2 linked regions of the Arabidopsis thaliana genome follow. The protein of the gene in region 1 interacts with the protein of each later gene in a pairwise test. Each region holds a gene or a part of one and is shown in the gene's direction. Other genes may lie near its edges.

Region 1 (5,319 bases):
TAAAGAGCACGTGCATGGGTACACGTGCATGGCAGGCTTTGTTCGACTTCGACAAACAAGAGATGTGACCATAACCGTTGGATCTGTTTTACCTCTTTCACATATTGTGAAAAATTCTGATTCATGAATAACTAACAAAAATGACTATGTCCGTATATGATATCTGATGGGAGTGAATAGTGATCCCGTTAACTGTGTATTTAAACTGAATACAACTATTGCAAAGAAAAAGGTGATAGATAAAGTTATAATTTTCTTATTGATCACTAATGTCAATCAATTTTTTTAATACATTGTTTTGTTACTTATACTGCATACCTTCAAATTAATAAGCATTATAGAGATTGTGCAATTGATAAATCAGATTAATGTTTTTATTTGTTGGCAAAGCAAATGTATCTTATTGTAACTAGATATACATTACAATACTTTGTAAACATAATTCATTTAAGATAAAATTTACGGATATATAAAAACATATATATATATATATATACATATAACAATTTCTTTATGCTATCTGTATCAAAGTACTCCTTGAATCCAAAAAGATTAACTACACTCCACTACAGCCTCATCATTCTTTAGGCAGATTGATCGATGCATTTCGTATTATATACTCTACAAGCTTGAAAAAATCACAAGGCGTACACAATTTTGATCTCCCAGTAGTTTGTTTACATATGCGTAAAGCCCTTTCTAGTGCCTAATATTGTTGTATCTAGATTTTTGTTTATTTTTATTTTATTTTTGGCAAATGAACCTTTGATGCTACGAAAAGATCTTCTAATAAACTGTTCCTTTTGGTAAATAACTTCACATTTTATCCCCAAAAAAACATATAGAAAGAAGTGTAAAAAATAAAATAAAAAACAAAAAAAATATAGTAAGATTGTTTTTTTGCACTGAGTTAACATGAGCATGTAGGAACAAAAAGTAAGTAATTATTGGACCCAAAAAACCAGAAAAAAAAATGGAGAGGAAAGGGCAACACAAAAATAACGAGATAATCATTCTCAATAGAAAAGATAGAAATATCAACTTTCTATGTGTCATAACGCACTACTACAACAAAATTACTTCGAATATCTTGGTAATTTAATTACATTTTTTAACAGCTCGCTTCGAATTTGCAAGGCTATTAATCGATTTTTCTAAGATTTAATATAAATGAAGCATTTGATGCTGTATGATGCATAAATACATGATTATCATTTGTGAAAAAATGTAATTAAAATTACTCTTAGCAAATACCATGTCTATACAAAACTAAGGATGTATGAACATGAAATAAAATGAATCAAACTAAAAGAAAATTGTTTATTATATTGAAATAATTCATAGTGAAACTGCAAACATAGGGTGCCTATAAAGTAATCAAGGGATGTTAAATTTTTTCTATCTCTGCATTTTGAAATTTTATTGGCTCTGCTGCTATCACTTTCAGCTTATGATTTTCCACCGCCATCCACTTTGCTCTTTTAAAATAATCTCATAAAGGAAAAGAAAAATACAATTAACCACATATTTTAATCAAAATGGCTGCAACAGTTTAACATATCAAGGTGCTAATATACCCACACACACACACTTATATATAGGAGCTAATATAGAGTGGTATAGGTTAAGACAAAAGCCATATATAAGTGGAGAACCCAATATATCTTTGTCTTTGTTGTTTTTTCCTTCTCGTTCATAGTTAACTTGCAGATTTCTTAGTATTTCTAATCTTTTTCTTATATTAACCTTTTGTCTCCTTCTCTCTCTCTCTCTCTCTGAACTATACAAAAACCTACTTTTAATTTCTCTTCCAAGAAGTCAAGAACCCAGAAGAAGACATGACAAGTGAAGTTCTTCAAACAATCTCAAGTGGATCAGGTTTTGCTCAGCCACAGAGCTCATCAACCCTGGATCATGATGAATCTCTCATCAATCCTCCTCTTGTTAAGAAAAAGAGAAATCTCCCTGGAAATCCTGGTAATTATTTATATTAAATCTCAGCTAGCTTGATCATCACCTAAAAAGAAAACCCTAGTATCTTTTCTATTTTTTTGCCCCCTATAAATTAATTTTCTTGGGTTGTTTTGTTCTGGATCTTGACCTAAATCAAAAGTAGTATTTGGCTGCATGAGTTATAGATCACTGGCTCATGCTTAATTAATGTGAAAATACTAGGCCTTTTAGTAAATTAAAACTTTTATTTGATCTATAGAGTTCTTCTTTTTTAAATCGCATTATAGTTTCCATGAGAAAATATATTTACATACCCTTTATTATTATTACCTCCACCAAGAAAAGCACACACATTATTTTTACTAAAGTACATGATCCGATCCAAAAATAGATGTTGTTTTCCGAATTGACCTAATTAAAGAAACCACAAATGTTAATGATGATCCACTTAGATCCGGAAGCTGAAGTGATAGCTTTATCCCCCACGACCTTGATGGCTACGAACCGGTTCCTATGTGAGGTATGTGGCAAAGGTTTCCAAAGAGACCAAAACTTACAGCTTCATCGGCGAGGACATAATCTTCCATGGAAGTTGAAGCAGAGGACAAGCAAAGAAGTGAGAAAACGTGTCTACGTTTGCCCCGAGAAGACATGTGTCCACCATCACTCCTCTAGAGCTCTAGGCGATCTCACTGGAATCAAAAAGCATTTTTGCCGGAAACACGGGGAGAAGAAGTGGACGTGCGAGAAATGTGCTAAGAGATACGCAGTCCAATCTGATTGGAAAGCTCATTCCAAGACTTGTGGTACTAGAGAGTACCGTTGCGATTGTGGCACCATTTTCTCAAGGTACACTTTTTTTTCTTTCTCTGTCAATTAAATTAAAAATAAGCTTCATGTATATATGTGTTGTCGTTTGTATTGATCATGTTCGAAAGCTATTCTATAGTAGCTTTATAGTATCTACATCTTCGTTTTTGTCAATATGTAGTTTGATTAAGTTTTATAAGTATGTTTTGTCATTTCCTATGTGTTTGTTTATCTCTTTTGAAGTAGGGTAAAGTTTCTTGCTTGGGAAAATGTTTTTGTTAGTGTCATGATTGAGGCAAAAAGTGGTATAAATTTATAATAACCATGATGAACATATAACATAAGCTAGATATAATAATATATACAAATAATGGAGTACTTCATGTGTGTATGGTTCAAAATGGTAACATTATTTATTACTTAATATGCGGAAAAAGTGTCAACACAAGATTGACACATCAATAGTTATGTTACGGAAATATGTACTTAGGTTTTTCTCTACTTTTACTGCTGCACATAAAGAAAAGGCAGCTAAATGTTTTCAAGTATTTTCATCAGTTAAAACTTTGATATAAATGCATTGAGATAAATGTTGATTAAGACGTTAACTAATGGTGGTTTTGGTTGAAACAGGCGAGACAGCTTTATCACTCATAGAGCTTTCTGCGATGCCTTAGCGGAAGAAACCGCTAAGATAAACGCAGTGTCTCATCTCAACGGTTTAGCCGCGGCTGGAGCCCCAGGATCAGTTAATCTCAACTATCAATATCTCATGGGAACATTCATCCCACCGCTTCAACCATTTGTACCACAACCGCAAACAAATCCAAACCATCATCATCAACATTTTCAGCCACCAACTTCTTCGTCGCTCTCTCTATGGATGGGACAAGATATCGCGCCGCCTCAACCGCAACCGGACTACGATTGGGTTTTTGGAAACGCTAAGGCAGCGTCTGCTTGCATTGATAATAATAATACTCACGATGAGCAGATTACGCAAAACGCAAACGCAAGTTTGACCACTACCACTACTCTCTCTGCCCCTTCTTTATTCAGCAGCGACCAACCACAAAACGCAAACGCAAATTCAAACGTGAATATGTCCGCGACAGCTTTACTACAGAAAGCTGCTGAAATTGGCGCTACTTCTACAACAACCGCAGCGACCAATGACCCATCAACGTTTCTTCAAAGTTTCCCGCTTAAATCCACCGATCAAACCACCAGTTATGACAGTGGCGAAAAGTTTTTTGCTTTGTTCGGGTCTAACAACAACATTGGGTTAATGAGTCGTAGTCATGATCATCAAGAGATCGAGAACGCTAGAAATGACGTTACGGTTGCGTCTGCCTTGGATGAATTACAGAATTACCCTTGGAAACGTAGAAGAGTTGATGGTGGAGGTGAAGTGGGTGGAGGAGGGCAAACTCGGGATTTCCTCGGGGTTGGTGTACAAACGTTGTGCCATCCATCGTCTATCAATGGATGGATTTGAAAGAGTTTAAAAATTTCGGGGTTAATGCATAAATTACGTAAAAGAAGAAGGAATCTTTTGTCATTTCCACCATTTTCTAAGATAACATATGTATATGGTAATGGAAGTTGTTTTCTTTTATTAATTCAATATTCTAAAACTTATGATATATGTATAATGAATGTGTTTATCTTCAAGATATATGTCAATGACATTCACAAGACATTCATAATCTTTTGAATTTTTATCATACGGGAAGTACATTTTAAATGTAACCTTAATTTTTGTAAGTAATTACATAGGTATGCCATTAGAAATAAAATTTTAAAGAGTAAATTAATTTATCTCTATAAGGATTAAAAAGTCAAATACTAATTTAATTAATTAAATTAATTAAAAAACGAAATACATTATTAATTTTCAAAAATAATTGCCAATCAAAATCAACATATAAGATTTGATATCTAAATTTTAATTAATTTAATTTAATTAGAAAAACGAAATACATTATTAATTTCCAAAAAAGTAACCAATTAAAATCAACAAACTATATTTGGTATCTAAATTATCATATTAATTTTTTATTAATTATTATAGTTCATTTCTCATCTTTATATGATTCTATTTTTACGGAAAAATAATATCATCATTATAAAAAAATAATTAGAGTTTTTTCGCATATGCCATAATTTAAATTTTTAAAAACGAATATAAACTGTTCAATACATGAAATAATATTATAACGGGTGAAAAATATATTTAAGAAAACTTTCTACTGAGTAACGAGACATAAATTTGAAATATTTATATTCAATTTCATACATATTATATTGAAAATTTATAATCTTATATACTACAATAGTTAATAACATATTAGATGTGATTCAATTTTTAATACAAGCTGGAAAATCCTAGAATTGACGGGTTTATATCGATATTAATACAAGATGGTATACTACATGTGAAACTCTTAAATTAATAATCAAACTACAAGTGTATAATCTTAAACACTAAACAATATAGATAATATCAACAAAACATATACAACTCACAGTCTACTATACATTTAAAATCAAATA
Region 2 (3,935 bases), on another chromosome or scaffold:
GTTCAAGAAAGGTGCGCACTAAATAGTAAATAAAAAACTACAAAATTATATCATTGCTCTTGGGAATGATTGGATGTTATAGGCTAATCCCAAATTAATATCTGGACATAATATATTGTCACGTCCGGTTTTTGTTAAGTGACTGATTTAAAAGTGAAACTCATAAGTGATAAAGCACAAAATTACGATTTAGCCTCTATTGTCTTTTCCAAACAAACCATTCTAAACTAGAACCATGGTTCAAGTGGTAAAAGTTTTTATTTGAATATTGTGATTTTGGGAGATATAGGCATGGGCAAAAAAACCCAATAATTTTAATAACTGACCAAACTGAACCGTATCAAAACCAAAGTTCTTAAAATAATCGAATGGTTAGTTGTTAATGAGAGAAAGTTACACTCGAAAATTAGAAAAATTATCAAGTAATATACTTATAAATGATTAGTTTCATTGCCAATTGGTTTTAAGTTAGAAACTCATCTTAAACCCAAATATGTTATTAGTAAAATAAGGGTGATTCAAACCATTTCTTCTCTAGAAAAAGCATTAGAAGAGCTAAAGATGCACTCAGTTAATAATGCTAGGATGATGCTAGGATTATTAGCATTAGAAGAGCTAAAAGGTTGTATCTTAGCCTCTTTAATAATGCTAGGATGATGTGATGGAAATATGTTGGTAGCAGAAGGTGAACTTCGAGGCATGAGTGGTTACCATGCCGTTGTCATGGTCATAATTATGTTCATTTGTACACACCTACTAGCATTACGCAAATAAATAATAGTGTCAAAATTGGTTTTTATGGTTATATCTTTGTTTGCCTATCGACTATATATCTAGTGATCGATTCCGATGAATAAAGTAGAGGATTGGTTAGGCCTACAAATAGGCTGATGCATCTATTGTCTAATTTGTGATGCTTAATGAGTGAATTATTATTATAAATAAAAATTTGAACGAAATAGTTTTCTTCACTTAGTTCAAAAACTAGAGGTAATAGTCTCTCTCTTTTTTTTTTTTTTTTTTTTTGGGTCAAATAGTCTCCCTCTTAAGTTTTATTTTCCTCTCTCATCCTCATCATCTGAGATGTATGGGTTAGTATATACATAAAAGTATGAGCATAAAAAGAGCTTTCTTCATTTACATAAAATATTCAGTGGACATAGAAAAGAGCTTTCTTTATATTTTTTAATTAAAATTTGAATTTACGACGAGATTTCAATTTGGGGTTTAGAAACAGTGTTTTTCTCAGGATCTCTACTTGTGAAGTTTTCGCTTGTGTTTTCTTAGTGTTTTCTCCTTGTGTTGTGTTGTAGTTTTTGGGGATTTATGTAGATTTCAATTTCTTTTTTTTTTGTATTTTCGGTAAGTTTTATCAACTTTTTTTGAAAATCGTATAAATACTTAAGAGTGATACTCATTTTTTTTTTGAATTCCTTTTATATGCTGAGAGCTTTTTTTTAATTTTGAATTATTATTATTTAACATCTGACATTTTAATTTTATAATCAGTAATTGCATGAATATGAGGCATTATTGTTACTGTACCATATCGCATGCGGCCCATTTTAAGCCCAAATCAAGGAATAACTTTTGAAGGACATTTAAAGTTGACCCACAAAAAATAACTTTCATCTTCAATTTCGAATCGATAACCCTAATTTCTCACAGACGAGCAAGAGAAAGAGCCAAAGCCGTTTCTTCAGGTAAATCCCGATCTCCGTTGTCACTTCTTTACTCCAGATTCATTCGTAGTTTCGATCTATAGATTTCATCTTTTTGAATTCATCGCTTTCAAAGTTTTTGAATTGAAGCCTTTTGTTGATAGGTAACTTGAGGATGTCGCGTGTGTATGTTGGTAATTTGGATCCGCGAGTTACTGAACGTGAACTCGAGGATGAGTTTCGTTCCTTTGGTGTGATCAGGAGGTACATAAATTGACTCCTTTTTGGTTTTTAGTTGATGTAAAGTGTGTGAATTTGCATTTATCCTCATTGTTCTTTTGGTGTCTGTGCAGTGTCTGGGTTGCTAGAAGACCTCCTGGTTACGCTTTTCTTGATTTTGAAGATTCAAGAGATGCCCGTGACGCCATCCGTGAAGTAGATGGTATTCGTTGGTCTTCTATTCTACTGGTCTGGTTTTATGAGTTGTTATGAGTTGTTATGAGTTTGATATATATATGATCTATATTGTTATGGTAGGCAAGAATGGATGGAGGGTAGAGCAGTCTCATAACCGTGGTGGTGGTGGAGGTCGTGGTGGTGGTCGTGGAGGAGGTGATGGTGGTCGTGGACGTGGTGGTTCTGATTTGAAGTGCTATGAGTGTGGTGAGTCTGGTCACTTTGCACGTGAATGTCGTTCTCGTGGTGGTTCTGGTGGTAGGCGTCGTAGCCGCAGCCGTAGTCGCAGTCCTCCTAGATACAGAAAGAGTCCTACCTATGGAGGACGAAGGTTATTGTCCCTATTCTTTCTGATTGACGATTTGCAACTAAAAGAAATTGGTCTACCTCATTGATTTATTACCTTGTCTTTTGGTTTCACAGAAGTTACAGCCCTCGTGCTAGATCTCCTCCTCCTCCAAGACGTCGTAGTCCTTCTCCTCGTGGTCGCAACTACAGTAGGTCACCACCACCTTATAGAGCACGTGACGAGGTGCCATATGCTAATGGGTAAAACTCCCCTTGCTCTTGAGTCTACTGTATCTCAATCAATATAAGAAATTGAAACTGAACTAGTGGCATTATCGTCCCAAAGACTTTTTTGTTAGACGTTGTGTTAAAAAACAGAGTCCATGTGGCTGATAAGTTTTTGTATTTGTTTATGCAGAAATGGTCTGAAAGATGTGCGCAGAAGCCGGAGCTGAGTGTTACTTGTCTAGATAGCAAATTATGGGATCAGGAGACAACTATTTGCTTGTGACGTCAAGAGGAGAGGAAATTAGTATCTGTGAATTTCACTAAGAGAATATGTTTTAGCTGTGTGGTGGATTGGATATGCTTGCTACTTTTGAATTGCTGGAAAGCTTCTTATTGCGTTTGGATTATGAAGCCATAGTTGTATCTGCCGTTAGGTAAAGTACTTTTAAATATCTACCCATGTTCTTAAAAGACATAAACAAAAGCTCTGCTAAAAACCTATGCATTTTCTTTGTTTTTTGTTCTATCATCTCGAGGTTTCTTCAGGTTTCTACTGCTTCATTGCTTATCTGCTTTTGGCTTCTTGGTTAATTTGGTCGGCCTGCTATGGGATCTTCATAGTAGTTTACCACAACTTCTGCTTCATTGCTTATCTGCTTCTCGCTTCTTCGTTATTTTGATCTGCCTACTTTGGGATCTTCATAATTGTTTACCACTACTTCTGCTTCATTGCTTAACTGCTTCTGGCTTCTTGGTTATTTTGATCGGCCTGCTTTGGGATCTTTATGTTAGTTCACATCTACTCTGCTTCTCATCTAGATGCTCTTATGTTTGAAAACTTCATCGGCTCTGATGATTGCTGGTCTTGCTTTTCTTGAACTTAAAATGGCCGAGGAGTTGCACTTGCTACTCTGGCAGGTATTTAATACCTTTCAGGCAGGCTTCGAAGAAACTTGTCTTACGGTGTAGAATAGTTTAGAGTATGTAGAACGTCTCTGCTTTGTTTGAGGTGGGCACTTGGATAAACACTTATCGCCATCTGCAATAGTCATTCCTTTGGTTTCATCACGTTTGGTACATGGACTAATCTTTAAACGAGAGATTTTTCTGCTCATTGGTTTCAATTTCATCATGTTTGATTCAAGGATCATTCTGTCTTTATTGAAGGCTTTTTGGCTGCCTCCTCTTCTGATGATGCTTTGGTTTAAAACCCTAGTAAAAGGAGTAGATTTTCATAAGTTTCTTATCTTTGTCCTGTTTTGTTGTGTCCTGAAAATACTTATTTTTTATGAAAAATAATTT

What was found.
Region 2: the proteins of NUC (region 1) and RSZ22a interact in a two-hybrid assay, tested with the Arabidopsis thaliana proteins (one large-scale study listed by BioGRID).

The regions. Positions count from the first base shown.
Region 1 is NC_003076.8:17,771,253-17,776,571, forward strand, and holds NUC (C2H2-like zinc finger protein), read left to right. Parts: upstream 1-1,603; 5' UTR 1,604-1,838; coding exon 1,839-1,977; exon of another isoform or gene 1,978-2,383; coding exon of another isoform or gene 2,384-2,405; coding exon 2,406-2,802; intron 2,803-3,396; coding exon 3,397-4,261; 3' UTR 4,262-4,497; downstream 4,498-5,319. UniProt on the Arabidopsis thaliana protein: Transcription activator that binds to the DNA sequence 5'-CTTTTGTCC-3'. Regulates photoperiodic flowering by modulating sugar transport and metabolism. Regulates SUS1 and SUS4. Transcription factor that regulates tissue boundaries and asymmetric cell division.
Region 2 is NC_003071.7:10,448,001-10,451,935, forward strand, and holds RSZ22a (RNA recognition motif and CCHC-type zinc finger domains containing protein), read left to right. Parts: upstream 1-1,630; 5' UTR 1,631-1,703; intron 1,704-1,825; 5' UTR 1,826-1,836; coding exon 1,837-1,925; intron 1,926-2,014; coding exon 2,015-2,103; intron 2,104-2,198; coding exon 2,199-2,448; intron 2,449-2,540; coding exon 2,541-2,666; intron 2,667-2,823; coding exon 2,824-2,860; 3' UTR 2,861-3,184; downstream 3,185-3,935. UniProt on the Arabidopsis thaliana protein: Probably involved in intron recognition and spliceosome assembly.